Rhinolophus ferrumequinum: one gene and its partner. The protein of the gene in region 1 interacts with the protein of each later gene in a biochemical or structural test. Links are inferred from orthologs where the notes say so. Each region holds a gene or a part of one and is shown on either strand. Other genes may lie near its edges.

The links.
Region 2: the proteins of PRMT5 (region 1) and COPRS form a complex in vitro, tested with the Homo sapiens proteins (3 studies listed by BioGRID, with this or other methods). The link is inferred for Rhinolophus ferrumequinum from reciprocal best matches to the Homo sapiens genes PRMT5 and COPRS.

What each region holds. Positions count from the first base shown.
Region 1 is NC_046289.1:73,502,422-73,513,299, reverse strand, and holds the start of PRMT5 (protein arginine N-methyltransferase 5), read left to right. Parts: upstream 1-4,772; 5' UTR 4,773-4,917; coding exon 4,918-5,027; intron 5,028-5,684; coding exon 5,685-5,803; intron 5,804-6,111; coding exon 6,112-6,197; intron 6,198-6,373; coding exon 6,374-6,508; intron 6,509-6,851; coding exon 6,852-6,964; intron 6,965-7,119; coding exon 7,120-7,169; intron 7,170-7,371; coding exon 7,372-7,535; intron 7,536-7,985; coding exon 7,986-8,147; intron 8,148-8,308; coding exon 8,309-8,386; intron 8,387-8,482; coding exon 8,483-8,541; intron 8,542-8,625; coding exon 8,626-8,748; intron 8,749-8,831; coding exon 8,832-9,007; intron 9,008-9,551; coding exon 9,552-9,661; intron 9,662-9,903; coding exon 9,904-9,997; intron 9,998-10,171; coding exon 10,172-10,288; intron 10,289-10,498; coding exon 10,499-10,563; intron 10,564-10,878. UniProt on the Homo sapiens protein: Arginine methyltransferase that can both catalyze the formation of omega-N monomethylarginine (MMA) and symmetrical dimethylarginine (sDMA), with a preference for the formation of MMA.
Region 2 is NC_046304.1:20,361,796-20,372,673, reverse strand, and holds the start of COPRS (coordinator of PRMT5 and differentiation stimulator), read left to right. Parts: upstream 1-4,938; 5' UTR 4,939-5,060; coding exon 5,061-5,159; intron 5,160-7,519; coding exon 7,520-7,586; intron 7,587-10,314; coding exon 10,315-10,533; intron 10,534-10,878. Other genes in the region: UTP6 (U3 small nucleolar RNA-associated protein 6 homolog), read left to right, coding at 673-745, 1,511-1,668. UniProt on the Homo sapiens protein: Histone-binding protein required for histone H4 methyltransferase activity of PRMT5.

The DNA of each region.
Region 1 (10,878 bases):
CTCTCTTCTCTTTTTAAAATTTTTCTTTGCTTTTCTTGTCTGCTTTTTATTGCAAATTAATGGTAGAATCATTGTATCAAATAACAAAAGATTCCATTAAAATTGTGACTGAATTGTAAAAGTGAGAAATTAATTGGGTAAGAACCGATATAAGAGTCCTTTTTTTCCCTAAGAACATGGCTTGTTTCTCCATTTTTTAATTACACCTCTCAGCAAAATTTTGTACTCTACGCAGTTTCCTCACATTTTTCAGTAAGATTACAGCTAAGTTTTTTTTATGATAGCATTATTGTAATCACTGTGAATGGGGAAAATGCTAATCAAAATAGCTAGTGCATATTGAAGGCGTACTATGTGCAGGGTAGATTCTAAATGCTTTACCTACCATATTGACTAATTTAATCCTCTTAACAGCTTTACAAGATTTACATTTCTATTTTGTGGATGAGGAAACAGGACAGAGAGGTTAGGTTCACATAGTTAGCAAATGGATGAACAGAGCGTCTGGCTCCATAAGCCATGATCTTAACTATCATGTTATTAGGATATTTTTATTATGTCTTCCAATTGGTTATTCTTAGTATATAAGAAGGCTACAAATACGTTTTATATTTGTCTTGTATCAAGTGATATCTCTGAATTCTATTAATACTCATTATTTTAGAATTGATTCTCATGAATTTTCTATGTATACAATCATATCTGCAAACAATGACAAATTTGCCTTTCTCTTTCCAAAAGTTGTAACCCATTCCTTTTTAATTTCCAGTCTTATTGTATTGGATTTTTCAGAACAGTATTAAATAGCACAGTGATGAGATTAGACAGTCTTGTTTTATTTTATCTTTACATAAATTGTTGACTTCATATATATACATATATGTATTTATACATGAAGAATATTAAGACTATTAAGAATGTTTATAGAAAATGAAATTAACTTATGTTCTCTTTGGTGGCTCTTAAAAATGATCAAATGTTTTTCTTGTTTGGATTATTTTTGATCTATTATATAAATAAATTTTCTAATACCTAACCTTGTGTAAATTCCTGAGATAAGCCCTAATTTGTTGTGGTATATAATTATTATGCCAATGCACTCTTGAGTTTTATGTGTTAATCTGAAATATTGTAGTATTTTACATTTATATTCATAAGTGAGATTGGTCTATAAGGTTATTTTTCTGTGTGTGAGTGAGGGATGCTATTTCTGACAGGTTTTGATATTAGGTGTATTCTGGCTTCATAAACAAACTGGGTAGTTTTCCATCTTTTTCTGTATTCCAAAACAGTTTTTACTTTCTATCCATTTTGACAGATAAATACTGTATAATAGAGATGACAAAGAAGAGAATGCAAATCACACAGATTATTTTGCCTCAGTAACTCTGCCACTTTTGCGGCTGGAGGACAGCCTTGATTGTGAAGCAGCAATTTGAACCAGTAGGAGGGTCAAGCGGGCCATTACTTTGGTGTTGAAGAGTGCGACTGGCTGGGCAGGCACAGAGGTGAGTGAAGGTGGTCCCCGGGAGGGAGGCCAGTGCTGAGGGAGGAGGGCAGCACAAGGGAAGATGAAAGGAGGGTTTACAATGGGCTGGAAGCACCTAGAAACAGCATCAGTTAGAAGAACTGGGCCTGAAGGTGAGGAATGCTGGCAGGCCCATTGGAGGAGGATCTGGGGAGTGAGTACCCCTTCCTTTCCAGGAAAGTTTCCAATGCTCTGGCCTGTTGGTCACTGGCTCCTATTGGAGTAAGTAACATTCTTTCTTACGCAGGGTATTTACCCTTTTGTCCTACCATCTCTCTCTCTTCGTCCCAGCCGAGGCCTACATCTAGTGATTCACATGCTTCTGAGCACAAGAGTTCAGCATGGAGGGCAAAGCAGACGGAAGCAGAGCATAGATAGACTTCACTAGCTTTGACTTTATGCCTGGGAAGAGTCCTTTACAAGATTCTCTATTTCTTTTTCAGTCCTTTCCTTCTGCTTCTCTTATAGCTCATATAGGCAGACCTATAGTACATGCTGTTTTTTTAAGGCAAAGGGAAGTGCTGTATGAAAGGCGGGGAGCAATGTGGAATGGAATTACTGGGAACTATTCAGCATTATGCTTGCCATACAGCTGAGGCCATTTTAAATGAAAAATCAAAGACATCACAGACAAATGAAATCCAGCCCATCTAAACTTACTTTAAGGTCAGTCAGAAATTCTAGGCTCTTTTTACACAAATTCTTTTGAAAATTATTTTATGATGAAAGTTATTTTAACTGATGGCAAAACTGACATTACTGTTTTATAGATTTTCCTCTCTCCCTCTCACCCATGGATGGATTAGTTAACAACCAACGGAGCAGCCACCAGCTTGACATCAGGAGGAAGATGCCAGAAGCACAGATGGTCCACAACCCAGATAATTAGAAACAACATCTACTAAGTCTTCTGTGAACGCAGAGTTTGGTTGGGCACAGCTGGGGCAGAGAACAAGCAAGCCTCCTCAACAACTCTTTTTTTTTTACCTCTTAAAATGTCAGAGGAACACTCACTCACTCCAGGTGGACAACCACCTACTCACAAGACCTTCAGAGAAGAATCCAAATAAATATTGCAGATACTCCACCCTAAAGGAAGGGGAGCATAACTCCCCCCTCCTTAAATGTGGGAAACACATGGTATAACAACTTCCTTCCAAAGAGTACGTGATGGAAGTAGGGGAGAGGAGAGTGTAATTCTACTACTGCTTCTATCAGGTGATAAAAGTCAATATCAACAGTCATAAATTATGTCGATAATATGTATGGCACTTTGCCTCTCTGATCTTCCTCCCCCAAACCCATAATCTCAGCCTATCATGAGAAAACCATCAGACAGATTCCAATAGAGGGGCATCCTACAGTATATCTGACCAGACTTCTCAAACTCCTCAAAAACTACTCTCAAGGTCATCAAAAACAAGGAACATCTGAGAAACTGTCACAGCACAGAGGAGCCTAAGGAGATAGGACAACTATATGTAATAAGGTATCCTCTATGGATGGGATCTTGGAACAAAAAGAGGACATTAGGTAAAAAGTAAGGAAATTTGAATAAACCATGGACTTTAATTAATGTTTTCAATACTGGTCCATGAATTGTAATAAATATACCATACCAATGTTAAGATGTTAATAAAAGAGAAAGCTGAGGCGAGGCATATGGGATCTTGCTGTACTATCTGCTCAATTTTTCTGTAAATTTAAAACAAGTCTAAGAAATAAAGTCTAATAATAATACTAATACCTGCAGGAGTCAAATGAAGACTAAGATGGGACAAAAGCACCTCCAACCCCTTTAAGCTTCGCAGACCTTTTAATTCTTTGGCTTTTGGACTCTTACCCTTTTGGGGCATTTACATTGCACCCAAGACTCCTTAGAGTTTATCCTACACACACCCTTCCGTACTTCCCAGGACCTTCTCCCCCACAGGCCAGGGTGATCTCATTCAGTCTAGGGACTTTAGTCACTACCTCTCTTCTGGCGATTTCTAAATCTTGTCTGGTTCAGGTCACTGTTCATCTAACTCTCTATTACGCAGCGCCCCCTAGGCGTCCAATTCAGCATTTCCAGACCCAAACCCGGATTGTCCTAAATCGGCTTCTCTCGTTGCTTGTCTAACCCACACAGAGATCAGAACCTTGGGCATCACCGTGACTTCTCTTCCTCACGGCTCCCTGCCAGTCGGTCCCTAAGTTCTGTCAACGCCTCCTGCTTAGGGCATTTTGTACCGTGTTCTCCTTTCCATCTTCTCTGTCAGACCCTGAACACTTCTGGGCTCTCCTCCCTATGTCTTTCCTTTCTTCATTCCTGTCTTTCTTTTCCATTCCTATAGCAGGTATTAATAAAGGAAAATGTAGAGATCTCCCTCTAGCAGGTACTGACAAAGGAAAATGTATAAATTCTCTGAAGCCTCCGCCTGGCAGTTTATGACTCCTCTACTGTAACTGCTTACCATGAATTCCTTTTCTCTATCTTCGGGTGTGTGTGTGTGTGTTTGTGTGTGTGTGTGCGCGTGTGTGCGTGTGTGTGTGTTTATTTACATGTTGTGTTTGAGATATAGAATCACGAGGAATTAGTAGCTGAGTTGCCACAATGTGTGTGTGTGTTTATTTACATTTTGTGTTTGAGATATAGAATCACGAGGAATTAGTAGCTGAGTTGCCACAATGTATTTACAAATATAACATACTAAGGCCCACACAAAGCCTCTTTTAAGAGCACCAGCCATTAATCCAGTTTTCACAGGGCTCATAGACCTGAGTAGTGACACAAGAACCACCCTCGAATTAGGTAACGGAGAAGCTGACATAAAATGGCTGCAGAACTCAATCAAATTTAGACCTGAAAATAATGGCGTGAGAAGATAATGAGGAAACTTTAAAAAGTGTAATGAGATCTAAAACTTGGTGTTCACGGCCGTATTGCACGAGCTGCAATAATTAACCGTTTGCCTCACACGAGCCAGCCAGGAGTCGAACCTGGAATCTTCTGATCCGTAGTCAGACGCGTTATCCATTGCGCCACTGGCCCTGAGACAATTGAAGACTCCTCGATGATGATACTTCAAGCTTATATGGCAGGGTTTCATGGGACGTGTAGTCCCCTAACGAAATTTTACGAATAACACGAGGTATTATGGGAGATTGAAACTCGTAGAGAACCAGACCCTGGGACTGGTGGATATTCCGGAGCTACGCCGCACGTCACTGTACAGCCCGCGGATTGGCAGGAAGAGCCATTCCCCATCCTTCCTCTCCGCTGAGAAGCCGTGGAAGACGCTCTGGTTGTTAGGGCGACTCGTCCCGCCTTCCGGGGGCTTTTTTCCTGGCTTTATGATTGGCTGCTAGTATCAAGAAATCCCGGCGTGGACAGCGCGAGGGAAAAGATGGCGGCGATGGCGGTCGGAGGTGCTGGTGGGAGCCGCGTGTCCAGCGGCAGGGACCTGAATTGCGTTCCCGAAATAGCTGACACACTGGGGGCTGTGGCCAAGCAGGGGTGAGGGCCTGGGATTCCGGGCGGGATGCGGCTCTGAACTCGACGACGGAGAGGGGCAGACTAGTCATCCCCGAGAGTCAGGGGTGAGGGGGTCGGAGTGGAGAAGATGAGGGCGGGAGAAACCCGTACTCCTTGAGGGAAGAAGCTTCGGGCCCTGGAGCGTCAGAAAAAAACTTACTGGGGGCGTGTGGTCTCTGACCCTAAAAGTCTGGGTTGTCAGGTAAACTCAAAAAGGGGGCGTACAGACCTCCAGGGCCCTGGAGAGCGAGTGTATTGTCTGAGAGTGAGAGGAAGTGTTACGGGGCTAGGGAGCGAAGAGATAAACCTTGAGTGGGGGAGGCATGGGTAGTACTGGGGCAGATCTGGATGTGACAGTCCTGGGAAACCAGTGATAGTAGAGTAGAAAATCTACTTGGTTTGCATTTCATCTTTTCACCTTACTCATGTTTTCCGTGGTTGTGTTTTGGGGAGAAATTGAGGCACAGTGTAGGGGAAGTGATATGCCCCAACATGAGCTGAACTCAGCAGTCCAGTCGGTTGACTGATGATGGCAGCTGAAAGGGTTGTGCAGAATCCAGATAGCCTAATCCAGTTGCTTGGATCTCTGGGCACTGCTGCTCTCTTTACATGACAATTCTGGGTCTGTCGCGGTTGTAGGTTTGATTTCCTCTGCATGCCTGTCTTCCACCCGCGTTTCAAGAGGGAATTCACTCAGGAACCTGCTAAGAATCGACCGGGCCCCCAGACACGATCAGACCTACTGCTGTCAGGAAGGGGTAGGGACCATCCCATATGCCCCTTAATTATTCTTAGAGGCAGTAACAACTTCTTCTTTATCAGTGCCCTCATTCTCCTTTCCTGACTTAGATATATTGATTAGTCCTTAGGATACAGATAACTCTTTTCTCCTTGCTTACCTGCTAAAAGCCTTAGTTTCCTAATCTGCATCAGGCTATTCTGTGTCTATGATAGAAAAAGTGTTTTTCTCTTATCTCTACTTTATTCCCTCTTAAGAACTAGAAATCAAACAAGTAAAGTGCCTAACCTCATTCAGTCTTTGTCTTTCTTGGGTGGGGGAGTGCAGATTGGAATACGCTAATTGTGGGAAAGCTTTCTCCATGGATTCGTCCAGACTCAAAAGTGGAGAAGATCCGCAGGAACTCCGAGGCGGTAAGACTGTTTGACCTCTCCACTGGATCTTTCTAAAGATCAGGTCTGTAACCAAGCTGGGTGGGTAGAACAGGTTTCCCCCCCACCCCTGTAATTCAGTAACTCTGATATAATAATGCAATTAAAGCTATATGGATTGTTAGCTCTTAAACTTTTCCTCTTAATCTCCATTCCAGGCCATGTTACAAGAGCTGAATTTTGGAGCATATTTGGGTCTTCCAGCTTTCTTGCTGCCCCTAAATCAGGAAGATAACACAAACCTGGCCAGAGTTTTGACTAACCACATCCACACTGGCCACCACTCCTCCATGGTACGGCTGAGGGCCTCTTTTCCTACTGCATATTATAGTAGTTAGCCTTCTTGTTCCTAGCCATTCAGTAAAGGGTACATTTGGTAGAAATGTAATGTCAGTACTGCCTACCCCTGTTTAAAAGTAGCGAGCAGGGAGTTATAAAATATAAAGAATATATAATTATTTATACAAATTTATACTTGGAATAGGGGACAAGACATATTTACATAAGAACATACATATAATCATAAATTGGCAAATGCATATAAAGGGGTTAATTTGAGATCTGGATCGAGATATTTTAATTGAAGGAAGCTTTCTGGACCCACTGAGTTTTAATAGAGTACTTGTTCATGTACAGTTCTGGATGCGGGTACCGTTGGTGGCACCAGAGGACCTGAGAGATGATATAATCGAGAATGCACCAACTACACACACAGAGGAGTACAGTGGAGATGAGAAGACGTGGATGTGGTATGTCTCCTTTTGCTGCTGTACGAAGGCAAAGGGTAGGGTGAGGGGAAGTACAAGGTGGAACCTGTAGGGTTGGCCTCCTTGGTAGGGTTGGCTATGGTTATTGGTGAGCCATATGTATTTGACTGTAGTTTTCTGTGTTTGACTCTGGACAGGTGGCACAACTTCCGGACCTTGTGTGACTATAGCAAGAGGATTGCAGTGGGTAAGTCCACAGGGGTCTTAGGATAGGTATTCCTTCTCTGACTTCCTGTGAATAAGAATCAGGAGTTTCATGTAGACTCGGCTGCTGGGCAATTTTGCTGTTTTTCTGTGCTTCGTAAGGAGTAAAGAGATCTTGCGCAAAAGAGCAAGGAAAGGCTTCTTTCCTAACAGTAGTTGACAGGTCTTTCTTTTCCCTTGTGTAGCTCTTGAAATTGGGGCTGACCTCCCATCTAATCATGTCATTGATCGTTGGCTTGGGGAGCCCATCAAAGCAGCCATTCTCCCCACCAGCATTTTCCTGACCAATAAGAAGGGATTTCCTGTTCTTTCTAAGATGCACCAGAGGCTGATCTTCCGGCTCCTGAAGGTGGGTGGTAGAAGGGTTCTAAAAGTGCTCCAACTAATCCTTTTGCCTTATTCCCACATGTATGATGCTTTTTTCCTGTGGGGCTGACTCTTCCTCTCTGGGTTCTGGAGAGCAATTTCAGCAAAGTTGGGAGTCTTGAGAGGAAAAGACAAATGGCAGTAGGAGCCCCAGAAACATTTCAATAGGAACCAAATCTTACGAGAACTTTGCAGAAGGTTCCATTTAAGAAGTTACAGTGAGGATCCATGGGGCCCTTTGAGCCAGGCTGATGCTAATATGCATAGGAGGGCTTGATAAGTTCGTTGCAGCCTCGTGCTGCTTTTATTGGTATCTGGAGAACTGCTGGTCTGGGCCTTATTTTATGTATGCTAGGACTCTGGCTATAAGATACAATAATGTCCCAGAATTTTGGTTCGAGGACTGCGTCTGATGGTCTGGCTTCTCTCACAGTTGGAGGTACAGTTCATCATCACAGGCACCAACCACCATTCAGAGAAGGAGTTCTGCTCCTACCTCCAGTACTTGGAATACTTGAGCCAGAACCGCCCTCCACCCAATGCCTACGAACTCTTTGCCAAGGGCTATGAAGACTATCTGCAGTCCCCTCTCCAGGTGGGTCTGCAGTACACTGAGAGGAGGGAGGTTGGGTCTCTTGCGAGTAGGTATCCTAAAATCCTACCAAAGCTCAGGAGGCAGTGGGAAGGTTTTGGAATTCTGGTGCACTGTTCTTGCCAGAAACTGGCTGACTTACTTTGCCTGTTTCCTCCTATCAGCCACTGATGGACAATCTGGAATCTCAGACGTATGAGGTGTTTGAAAAGGACCCCATCAAATACTCTCAATACCAGCAGGTGCAGTGTGGGTCCCAGATTGGGTCAAGCACAGGGCCGGGATGACCTAGGTGAGGATAGGATTACAGCCATGAGGTCTTCTCTCTTTCCCCCCAGGCCATCTATAAATGTCTGTTAGACCGAGTGCCAGATGAGGAGAAGGACACCAATGTCCAGTGAGTGCCCTCCCCACAATCCCAGAGATTTGTGTGTCTACTTCTCTATATACCAAGTCATCTTGACTCTTCCTTTTTTCTTAGGGTGCTAATGGTGTTGGGAGCAGGCCGGGGTCCCCTGGTGAATGCTTCCCTGCGGGCAGCCAAGCAGGCTGACCGGCGGATAAAGTTGTACGCTGTAGAGAAGAACCCAAATGCTGTGGTGACGTGAGTAGCAAATCCCTTGCTGGGAAGTTTGTTCACAGTACGTTTCTCTTGTCAGGGTCCTCACTTGTGTTACTCTGTTTCAGGTTAGAGAACTGGCAGTTTGAAGAGTGGGGAAGCCAGGTGACAGTAGTCTCATCAGACATGCGGGAATGGGTGGCTCCTGAGAAAGCAGACATCATTGTCAGTGAGCTTCTGGGCTCCTTCGCTGATAATGAACTGTCACCTGAGTGCCTGGATGGAGCCCAGCACTTCCTAAAAGGTGCCTCCAGGCTGGGGTGTACTGCGTAAGGGGAATGGATTATTAGCTGGGAAGGCTGCAAGGGGGTGGGGGGAATTGGGCGGGATGGCAGCCTAGGAGGAGGTTACAAGGTTTAAGGGAAGGTGGGCTGGACTTGTGTCGTGCCCTTAGTAAATGAAGTAATCTCTCCGAACCTCGGTATTCACATTTGTAAAATGAGGGGAGTGGACTAGAGAAGACACTTAACCTGAGGTCTGTGGGCTTTCTGAGCTGCTGTGATACAGACTTTGGGCTTAGCTTTCATGAAGATCTCAAAAGTCTTTGAGACCCCCCCCAAAACTGAGAAGCACTAGATTAGAATACCTTAGGTTCCTTCCAGTTTTAATCTTGTGTAACTCTGTAACCTAACCTGAAAGTAGAATCCCCTGTGACAGGAGTTGGGAGCAGGTTGGCCTGGGAATGTGACAGCACTGAGCTGCCTGGGCGTGAGAGGTTTGAGCCTTCTGTTAGTACAGATACACCGTATCCATCCCTTGGGAACTAATGTGGCGCTCCTGCTCTGCAGAGGACGGCGTGAGCATCCCTGGGGAGTACACCTCCTTTCTGGCTCCTATCTCCTCCTCCAAGCTGTACAATGAGGTCCGAGCCTGTCGGGAAAAGGACCGTGACCCTGAGGTAAAGAGCCACTCCCTTCTGGAGGACTCCTCTCTTTAGTCCTTTCTTTTTCTGTATTAGCTTCAATTATTTTACTTTTCTGCAAAAGATGGAGAAGTGAAGGAGGACTTGGGGGTGTGGAAAAGTGGTTGAAGTAAAAGTTTTTCATCTTTTTCTGTGTCCTTGAGTCTTGAGCTTCTTTCCCTGAGGAAGTAGGTATCTCTTACCTGTCTTCAGCTCTTGCTCTCTGTCTTTCGGGTCAGGCCCAGTTTGAGATGCCTTATGTGGTACGGCTGCACAACTTCCACCAGCTGTCTGCGCCCCAGCCCTGTTTCACCTTCAGCCATCCCAACAGAGGTGGGTTCTTGCCTGGCTGTGCTCTGACTGGGTGAGAGATTGCCCTCTTGGATTTCTTCCCTTGCTGACTTGGGTCTACCCTCTCTAGGCTTCCCTTACTGGTTCTTGCTCATGCTTTACCAAGTTGTCTAGGACTTCTGGCCCCTCGTCACCCATATAAATCTTCCCTGACAGATCCTATGATTGACAACAACCGCTACTGTACCTTGGAGTTTCCCGTGGAAGTGAACACAGTGCTGCATGGCTTTGCAGGCTACTTTGAGACCGTGCTTTATCAGGACATCACGCTGAGTGAGTGTTCAGGGCTGTGGATGCTGGGGTATGAGCATGTACTACCTGGGCAGCTTATGTACATGTTTCAGTTAGAGTCACCGGGAGCCCAGGAATCAGTGAACGGGGATCTTTGATGACTTGTTTCTGTGTTCACAGAAGAGACTCTCTTCAGCCAAGGTAAAATGCTGTCATGGAGACCTCAGTTTTTTCATTATTTTGTCCTCACAGGTATCCGTCCAGAGACTCACTCTCCTGGCATGTTCTCATGGTTTCCCATCCTTTTCCCCATTAAGGTAGGAGTCACCTTTAAAACTCCATTAAGGAATAACTTCAGCTGTTTGGTTACCAGTGATGCTTGGCTGTGACCCATGTCCTCCTGCTCTGATAATTAGATACCAGTTGTAGATGTTGGGGTAACTGCTGTGGCTTTCTACATGGCTTCCCCACATCTCCCCTAGCTACTCTTCTGTCCATTTTCTACCCTGAACAAGAGTTAGCTTTTAGAAACTCAAATCTGCTCTTATCTCTTTCCTGTTTAAAACCCTTCACTGCCTTCCCACTGTCAAAATCCTGAACATTGTTTGTAAGACTTGGAGTGTTCTGATTTT
Region 2 (10,878 bases), on another chromosome or scaffold:
TAGTCTGCCTTGAAAAGGAAACAAAAGAATACATTTAAATGGAAGTAGAGGTAAAGAATGAACATTCATTGATTGTAAAGTTAATACCAGCTGTTATTGCCTAGGTGCATAATTAATCAGCATTTTAATTTAATCCTTGTAGTTACTCTGAGATGTCATCCTTGTGTTATGAGTAAGGACACTTAGAAGGTCAGAGGGTTTAAAAAATTTGCTGAAGGTCGTATAACTAGTATTTATAAACTTTGCCTTGATACAAAATGTTCTAAGGTGGACATAGCTAATATGTGCCAGAGCCCAGATAACTCAAAAGGAAGAAATCTCTAGCCATAGGGAGTAGAATCTTCCGCATTTATTTATTTCAATCCTACTTCACCCTCAGAGCTTTCAAACATACTTTCCCGTGAAGCTGCCCATGTTCCTCCAAGAATTTATTAGGCTTTTTCCATGCTACTGTAGCAAAGTGCTTTTTATCACTGTTTGACACTTACTTCACTCTGGAAGTAAATGCATATGACTTCTCTCTGGGTAAGTTGAAAGCCAGGCTGTGTTCATCTTAAGCCACAACCCTCCTCTCCTTAAAATACCTAATAGATGATAGCTGTTAACAGTGTGGTTGAAATGAATTTATGACATTATAAATTAGGCTTAAGATTGTCTGATTATTTTTGTTAGGAATCCTGCAAGATGGCAAACTTAAGAGAATATTATGAGAGGGCTTTGAGAGAGTTTGGATCTACAGATTCTGGTAAGTAAACTTCAGTTATAGACATATAAGTCTGTTTGCATGTGTGGTCTGGAACTTTTCAGTACGGTTAGAACAGCGTTTCTTTACTGGGTCATGGCCCTTTTTGAGAATAAAATTTGTATCCTCCTACCTCTTCCCTTACTTTGTGCATAAATAAATACTTGCAGATGTAATTTTGCTTATAATTTCAAGTTCATAAGCTCAAGAGTCCATGGGTCTTCTATTAAGAACGCTGGGTTAGAGAAAGATTTGCTTGATTTGGTTCTCTAAAAAATATGGTATTTGTCAGGGAAAGGTTAATAATGTAGGTCAGAACAAAGAGGAGTGGGAATTACAGCAAAGGATAGTGGGACGTTAATTGACATTAGTTGTCATTGGCTATTGTCACATTGTCCACATTTATAGGCCTTGTAAAACATACTTCTGGGCGTAGGTATGTCATGTAAAATCTGTTTACTTAGGCACTCAAAAACTGACATGTATTTGTTAAACTCATTTAAAAAACAGATCTGATGAAATGAATGAAAATGGCATTTTTACTAACCCAAGCAAATTTTGTTAAGCATGGTAACAAGGTTACGGTGAACTCATTTTGATATACTCCAGTGTAAGGAAGCTGAGAGCGGTATTGTTTCACAGTTTTCTGTGGAAATAAGTTCCTTAGAAATCTTGTGTTAAATCGATATTAAATAATTAATCTTACTTAATAAAGCCTTGTCAGTTATATATTATATGTCCACAGTAATTTTTTTGTTCCCTTTAAAGATCTTTGGATGGATTATATAAAAGAAGAATTGAACCACCCTCTTGGTAGACCTGAGAACTGCGGACAAATCTACTGGCGAGCCATGAAAATGTTGCAGGGAGAGTCAGCAGAGGTGTTTGTAGCTAAACATGCTATGCATCAAGCCGGCCATTTGTGAAAAGAGGAAGAACAAGCCAACTTTGTGAAATAGTGTTGTAAGCCTTCTGGGTAGATTGGTGTTAGGAGTTCATCTACAATTTGCTTAGAGATGGCAGACAAGAAGGCTCTCTGATTTTGAGACATGCTTTAATTTTGTTAATGCATTATTTTTTAATTCCAGAAGAGAATTGCTGTTCAGTGGCCAGAGGCTACTTGTTGGGGCTGGATCTACTATAGATCCTGAATGTTGTTCAAAATAATGTGGAAATCATACAACTGAAGTTTCTTTTATTATCCCCGGGTTAAGGATGAATATTTCTAGACCTAGGGGCCAGTTAAAATGGAGGAGAAAGTACAGTTCTGTTAGTTTATTCTTCCCTTATTATAAAAGTATGCATGGTATGCATTTGTTGTAGAAAATATGGTGGGAGTAGAATAAGGAGAAGAAAATAAAAGCATCCTGTAATATCATCTGGAGTTAAACTCAGTAATTTGATTTCCTTTATCAGAATTGGATTTATCCTGTTAGAACATTTACTCATTCATTCATTGAGTGCCCATCATAAGCAGGAAGGAAGGGAAGCTTTTTTGGATGGAGGTAGGGGTTAGAGGAACAGAGCTGAATGTCTCTAAAGCTGGTTGAAGGAGCAGAGAAGGATGCTGGGTATTGGGGAAAAAGTTCTTTAAGAAGATCAAGATGTTATACAGGTATCTTCTATCTCTGGGACTGATCTGCAAAGTAGTGTTTATAGTGGGCAGGACTGCCAACAAAAGAAGGGCAGGGATAGGGAGCATATTAGAGAAAGGCTTCAGAGCCCATGATGGAGGATGGCTTGAAGCACAGAAGGGCATTCTGGGAGTAGGGGAGGCAGTTATTTGAATTTTATATCCTTTAACATAATGTTATAATGTCACTGGGAGAAGCATTCAGTACAGTTTATTGATGTTTCGCTTAATATTAGGTTGGTGCAAAAGTAATTGCGGTTTTTGCAATTTTCCAACTTTTTAAACTACAGTTACTTTTGCACCAACCTAATATTATGTTATTTTTCCATGTCATTAAAGCCTTAAACACATTTAATGAATTTAGAACATTCCCTGTAAAATTCATAACATTCTGTGGTTGGACCTTGTTATTGGTTGGACCTTGTTATTTCTAATTTTTTCTTACTATAAATGCTGTTAATGATTTTTGTAAATCTTTGTTCACATCCCTGGTTATTTCTGTAGGAGACTGACATCTGACAAAATTGTTGGATTAAAGGATATAACTTTTTAAAAGAATATATATATTGCCAATTTGTAATGTATAAAAAGACTTTCAAGAAATGTATGAAAATGTCAACACCTTTACCTGCGGTGGATACTTTACACACACACACACACACACACACACACATTTTTTTTTAAATTTTTATTGGGGAGTATTGGGGAACAGTGTTTTTTTCCCAGGACCCATCAGCTCCAAGTCAAGTCATTGTCCTTCAGTCTAGTTGTGGAGGGCGCAACTCAACTCCAAGTCTAGTTGCTGTTTTTCAATCTAGTTGTGGGGGGTGCGCAGCCCACTGGCCCATGTGGGAATCCAACCGGCAACCTTGGTGAGAGCTCATGCTCTAACCAACAGCCATCCGGCTGCCCCGGATATTATATTTTTTATTTATGCCATTTTAATAGGTTAAAAGTGATACATCATTGTTTTAATGTGTATTTCTTTGGCATTAATGAAATTAATGTGGTTTTCCTGGTTCTCTTTTCATGTTTTGATTTTTTTAAAACTTGTTTCTTACTAATTTATAAGAGTTTTTTTTTTGGGGGGTGGGAATATTGGGGAATAGTGTGTTTCTCCAGGGCCCATCAGCTCCAAGTCCAGTCATCGTTTTCAATCTTAGTTGCAGAGGGCGCAGCCCACCATCCCATGTAGGAATTGAACCGGCAACCTTGGTGTTATGAGCACTGTGCTCTAACCACTGAACAAACCATCCATCCCATTATTTGATTTAAAATAAAAATAATTTCCTCTTTTCCCTCTCCTTTAAGTCCCAGGAAGTTTAACATGCTAAACCCTTACATGGCATTTTTATTTTAGGAAAGAGATACATGTTGCATACAAGAGGAGAGGGAAGGATGGTGGTTGGCTTCTTATAGCAAGGCTATGAAGGTGGGTCCCCTGGGTCCCATCTGTATCTGGTTCTCACTGTTGCAGGTTATGAAAAGGCATCTAGCTAGTTCACCTAGAGCTGTACTGTTAGTATGGTAGTTTCTAGTTATGTATGGCCATTTAAACTTACTAAAATTAGCTTGATTTTTCATTTATACTGGCCACATGTTTACCATATTGGACAGCACAGAAAAATAGAACTTTTATTCCCGCCATCACAGAAGATTCTGTTGGACATTGTTGACCTAGATAGGTCCAATTAGATTTGGTGAAACTGACTCATGGGTCAGAACAGCACACATCAATTGATCACATTCTCTTCTCTGTAGGAAAGTCTATACGTTGTGAAAAAGAAAACACATGTATTGTTACACTAAAATTTTTCAAATGCGTTATGCAGTTTACAAAATATACATTCTTGGAAGGAGATGAAGGACTAGGTAGGCTCTCTAATCTCCCATAGATTGTCATAAGGTGGCCTGGTGAGCAAAGGACTCCCAGCTTCCTCCAGCTTTTCTGCTACTTAAATGTGAAGGTGAGCACGTTCAGGAAGTGTGGGGAAAGGCAGTGAAGGCAGTCTCTGCCTGTCTTCTGCCACCTCCACAAAGGAGCTTTTTTCAGGTCGGACCACCGCGAGACTCGGAACGCCTAGGGTTATTAATGACTGCCATAACATACAGTGTCCAGCACATTGTAGAAATTTTGTTCCTATGTCCTGGTTTCTAATGGATTCACTAAGAACTATCGTTAACTTAAGGGGGAGAATCACTGGGCTACTGAGTTGTCTCATTCATCTGTGGGTGAGTTATAGTCCAATTCCAGCCTGAGTTCTAGGGAAGTTTGTGAGATCAAGAGTGAAATGTGGTTGGTGAGCTACAATTGCACTAAAAGTTTTGAGAGCTGAGCTTTATACACTATCATGTAGACTCGGGTAACAGGAATTGGAGGTTTTTAAGCTGCGAAGGGATAACACTTGACATTCCAGACCAAGCTAGTCCCGCCTTGCCTGCACTAGCTGGTGCTACAAAAATCAGATTTTGGACCAGTAGGTGGGCTTTCGCTGTCGGGCGCGCCCCGCCCCTCTTGCGGCGCCCCGCCCCCGGCTTCCTCGTGACCCCCCTAGTCCCGCCCCCCCCTCGTGCAGGAGCACCCCCCCGGCTGATTGGCCCCTCTGTGGCGTATCCTCGGGCTGGCAGCCAGGCGGGCGCGTCACGTGGCCGATCAGCGTCCAGGGCACCGAGCAGCGGCCGGGCATGGACCCTCAGACCGCCGGGGCCCAGGCGTTGGGGACCGCGGAGTTGCCTCGGGGTCCGCCGTTGCCGTACGCGCGGAAGGCGTTCCCCAGCTCAGGGGTGAGCGCCGCGCTGGGGCCCGGCGCAGCCACCACCTGCGGCCGGGTCGGGAAGCTGCAGGCGCCGCGGAGCCGGGGAAGCGCCTCGGGCCCGCTTGGGGCCGCCCCGTGAACGCAGAGCGCCGTTTGGGCGCGTGCTCTAGCTGGAAACCGCTGGGCCGAGGGGCCGCGGGGTGTGGGGATGCGGGGCGGGGCACCTCGAAGGCGTGGGTGGACGCGCCGGCCGGGGAAGGAAGGCTGCGGGTCCCCGGGGTCGCCTCTGCGTACTTGCCAAATGGGAGGTGATGCTGATGACCGAGAGCTGGGGGCCTGGACAGGGGCCAGGGGAGGGCGCGCGAGGAGAGCGACTTTCCCTGAAGGACCTGTGTCTACTGGTGAGGATGTTCAGCTGACCCTGAGCACCCGATGATGTCTCATGCGCGCTCCTTTTCTAGTTAATGAAACCCAAAGGCCGGGTTTGACGCAGGTTTTCCAGAAACTTGTTTTCATTTGCGCTCCAGAAGGCTCCTGGTTTTTTAAAGACCATTGTTACAGTCACCACCTGCCCTTATTTTCAGTCAGTAATCTGTTAGATGGTGAGCTCGTCGAGGGTAGGAACCTTCTGTTCACTGCTGTTGACAGGGCACCTAGCGTAGTGCCTGGCACGGTAGACATGCTTTTTGGCTGGAGGAATGGCGTGCTTGTTGAAGCACCAAAGATACTACCTAACCAAAGTAAGAAGGAAAAAATGGAGTGATAGACTTACAAAGAAAGTTACTTTGGCGTGCAGATAGGATGAGCCTCGTTTTGTCAGGGCATAGCAGAAAAGTATGTGCACTACCTCTCCAAGGTGAGAGGGTGGTGGTGCTTGCAGAGGCCCGGAGATGTGGGAGTGCATGGCAAATGCTTGGGGACTTGGGCCTCAGAGCTTGGAGAGAGAAAGATGCTCAACAGGTTGATGATGGCTTGTGAGGGGGATGTGTGAATGCCATGGCTAATTCTGTACTCCTGCAGTGGAGCTGAAGGTTTTTGAGGCGAGCAGTGATTAACACTGGAAGGCTGGGCAGGGTGGGAGAGTGGGGAGACAGTTAGAGGTCTCAGGCAGTGGTCAAAGTGAGAGGTCCTGCAGTAGTGACCAGCGCTTGTCACTGACTACAGGAGGTGGAATCGACACTTTAAATGCAGGTATGACTTGGGGGCAGCCTGTTAGCTCAGTCGGTTAGAGTGCGATGCTCTTAACAACAAGGTTGCTGGTTCGATCCCCACCTGGGCCACTGTGAGCTGCACCCTCCACAACTAGATTGAAACAACTACTTGACTTGGAGCTGATGGGTCCTGGAAAAACACCCTTACATAAATAAAAGTTAGAAAAAAAAATCCAGGTATGACTAAACCATAAGCTAACTGGGGCCGGTGCCAAGTGCAGTATAGATGTAGCAACAAAGAAGGTGGATTTAAATTCAATGGTGCTAATGTTTTCATAAATGTTATCTCATCATAAGCCCCCTGCAAGGTCAAAACAGTCATTCTCAATTTCCAGAGAGGGAAACCCAGACACAGTGGTTGAAGTTCAAGGTCACACCCTGAATGAATGGCAGAGCTGGAATTGAAATCAGGTCTTTTCATGCAGGCTGTGGACATTCCTTGTTCCGTTTAGGAAGAGGTCTTACAGGTGATAGGATTTCAGGAACTTTTGAGTGATGAGAGCAGGGAAGCATATGGTTCGCTGTGGGGGAAGAAGATTTCCCTCATCGTCGCAGAGGAACTAAACCTCTGTTCCTCCCAGTGTATCAGCCAGGAGACAGAATTGGACAGAAAGAGCTGTTAGCTAGCTAAGAAGTTGTTAAGTAACTGACAAGTTAAAAAGTGAACATGGAGTAGGAACGGGCAAGAAACAGCTACCAACCCTAAGGAACCAAGGGATGAGGTTGGAATGGTTCAAATTTACATGCTTAGAGGAGCGGCTTTGGGGAGCTGAAATTCCACTCTCTGAGGAGAGGGCGCTGTCCAAGCTCTGAGCCTGGAGGAGGGGTCCTGAGAGCCTGGGCGTCAGACCTCTGAAGAGAGGGCTGGATGATGAGGCTGGCCCTGCAAGCTTTGGCAAACTGTAAGCTGGGTTCAGCAGCCGCTATGGGAAGACGCGCCAGCTGCCAGGGTGAAGTGTCGCTGGGGTAATGCCTGCAGGAACAGGAGGGAGCCAAGGCCCTTCTCCCGCTAGCTTCGCTGACTTCATAGGACAAAGCACAAATACGGGTTGCAGGGTCCCAGCCCCACTCAAATAGGGGGAGTATGGAAGGGTGGGGTTGCGTCTGAGAACCTAGAGCTTAATACTGGACTACCCCAGACATCCAAGTCCTGGGTAATTGTTTTTTCTTCCCGCAGGTTCGCTTTGCCCCAGACGACCACTCCGGTCAGGACAGCGAGATTGAGAAGGCCCCAGATGGACTAGGCAAGTAGATGGCAGAGACTGGGGTGGATGCCGGAAGAGACTGAGGGAGCGACAGGGACAGTTCCTATGTGTCTTGTCACCTTCTCTTCTAGCGAGTCCTCCTCTTCGCTGCCGCATTGCCTTTTCTGCCTAGGGTTTCAACAGTGCCCTTGTTTGGAAGCCCTACTGGAGCATCCCTAAGGGAAGTCCTGACCTTAGGTCCAAACCCGTCCTGTCTATGGAGAAAGACAGCTTAGGACAGCGGGAAGAATATAAGCTTTGGAGCCAGGCAAAATTGTTTTCACTGTCAGCTCCACGTCAAAGTCCTGGGCTCGAATCTTGTGGTCTTAGATGAATCACTTAATCCTTTCTTTAAAATGGGGATAATCATATTACCTCTCAGAGGTAATTGGTGAGAAGGATTTGGTGAGAGGATTTGGTGAGAGGATTTTGTTCTGAGGATTTGGTGAGAAGATGTAGAACTGTAATTGCCACTAGCTACTGGTGCTATTTAAATTTAAGTTAATTACAATAAAATGAAATGAAACAATTCAGATCCTGTTGCAGTAGCCATACGTCAAATGCTCGGCAGTTACACATGGCTAATGCTAGCCTGCCAGACAGCAGAGATGATAGAAAGTTCTGTTGGGTAGTACTGGCCTAGAGAAAGCACCAAGCACGTAAGTATAGTCATGACAACTAACACTTACTGAGTACTCACTCTGTGCCAGGCACAATTCTAAGTGTTTATTTTCCTTTTTTTTTTTTTTTAAAAAAAACAAACAAACTCAACAATACTGCCTCCATTTTACAGATGTGGAAACTAAGGCACTGAGTAAATTTCAAAAAAATTTGTGGTAAAAGACACATACAATTTGCCACTTAATGATTTTAAAGCATACAGTTCAGTGGCATTTAGCACAGTTACAATTGTGCTGTATAACCACCACCACTTTTATTTAGTTCCAGAACATTTTCATCACCCCAAAAGGAACCCTTGTGCCCTGTAAGTAGTCACACTCCATTCCCCACTTCCTTGTGGCCCTGGTGACCACTACTCTGCTTTCTGTCTCTATGGGTTTACCTATGCTGGACAGGCAAATGTGAGTTGCATATAAATGGAATCATACGCCATGTGGCCTTCTGTGTCTGGCTTCTTTCACTCAGTATATTTTCAAGGTTCGTTCATGTAGCATGTATCAATGCAGGCATACCCTGCAGATATTGTGGGTTCGGTTCCAGGCCACCATAATAAAGCAAGTATCCCAATAAAGCAAGTCATAACCTTTTTGCTGATGGAGGGTCTTGCCTTCAGTTTGCAAAAGAAAACCCCACAACATCTGTGAAGTGCAATAAAACGAAGCATGCCTATACTTCATTCCTTTTTTATGGCTGAATAATTCTGTCATGTATATATCACATTTTGCTTATTACCCATTCATCGGTTCATCGGCATTTGGGTGGTTTTCATCTTTTGGTGATTGTGAATAGTGCTGCTGTGAACATTTTTGTACAAGTTTTGTTTGAACACCTGTTTCCAATTCTTTTGGGTATACATTTAGGAGTGGGTTGTGGGGTAATTCTGTGTTCAAGCTATTGAGGAATCGGTCAAGTACATTTCAGCTCCGTCACACATGTAGTAATTGGCAGAAGTGGGATTTGGACTCAGGCAGTTTGGCTCCAGAGCCCCTGCCCTGAACTATTTCTTTATTGCTTATAGCTGTCATCAAACCGTGTTAAGAGCATGGCTGTTTTTAGGCTGATTCATTTCCCAACTCTGACCTGGCATCACCGTAGCACTTTGTGGGGACAGAATCCCAGAGAGCAGTTTCCAGGCTTTCGACCTCTTGTGGAAAGGTGCTGGCTCGGGTAGTAGATGGCCATCAGCTGTTACCGGTTAGCCATTAGCCACAAATATAACTGCTATGGCTATGCCAGCAAGTGGGGTTGGTTGGTTGGCAGAGAAGCAGACTGCGGATTGTGGATAGCAAGTGGGGTTAGCAAGTGCGGATGGTGGATTGTGTGGCTCCTGCTTCCTGTGTCTCACCCGGCCGCCAGCGAGAATATAGTGGTATGACTCCCCTATCTATGGCTCTGTTGGTATGCCTTTTTGGCCTCACCATATCCTGCATTCTTGTGTGGGGAGCGGGACCAGAGTCCCTGCATGATATACGTATATGCTTGGAGGTCCATTGTCCTTCCCACACTTGTCTTCCGTTATTTTGAGACCCTTTTGAAAATGTACCTTCCAGCCCTTCCAGATTTCAGGAGGAGCAGCCATGGTGGCTATCCAATCTGACTAGATGGGTTCTGATCTTCTCCCTGTTTTTCTCCCACTCCCCCCCTTGTCCTGTGCTCACCTGTAACATGCTCTTTGAGGATGAAAGGAGGAACAGAAGAGCAAAAATTCAATTCACCTGTATTATGAAAGTTTCTCATTTGCCTCAATGACATATAAATGACCTGAAAATGTAAACTGTGCCTGGCTCCCTGTGTGAATTACATGACGGGGTAATTAATGGTCTTTTTCAAGGCAAAACGTCTTATTGCAAATAATCGATCAACCCTACTTCTAAAAGTGTCAATGAAACTTTATTTTTTGAAGTGCTCAGGTAGCTAAAGAAGTCTGGTACACTTGTGTTACTGCTGGCCTCTTAGGAAGTCTGCCCAACATTTTCCAAGCACACAAGTAGGCCCTCTCTGGTTTGTCGGTTGTTTTAAGACCTTCTTCCTTCTGTCGATTTCTTAGCCAGTGAAGCGCGGAGCGTCCCTAATGATAGTCCTGCTGATGGTGAGGGCACCCGTCCTGAAGAAGGCGGCTTTGCTGTGGATGGCGATTCTGAGGGGGAACCCAATGCCTGGGAGCTGTCAGAAGGGGTGTCCGGCTGTCCGCCCAAGGAACAGGCTGATGATCTCTTTCATGAGGATTGGGACTTGGAATTGAAAACAGATCAAGGGAATCCGTATGGTAGGTATGGAATTTCTGGGTCCCAGGCCAAGGTTCGAGACTCTCCTCCCAGATTACCCCTAAAGGCAGACACTTTGGAAGAGGGACCCACAGCTGTGAGTCTCGCCTGATACCTGTTAGAGATCTGTGATGTCTGTGACAGCTTCTCTTTCAGATTGAGAAAAAAGAAAAAAGAAAAAAAAAACATGGAAATTTTGCATTTGACTCCGTAATGTATCAGTTTTAACACTGGCATAGTGTTACTCTCTCCAAATATCTCTGTGTAAATTGAGAAGCTGCAGACAGAAGTGCTCTGTTATCCAGCTGCTTCCTTTGCACTGAGAACGTTTGGCTGAGCAGCACAGA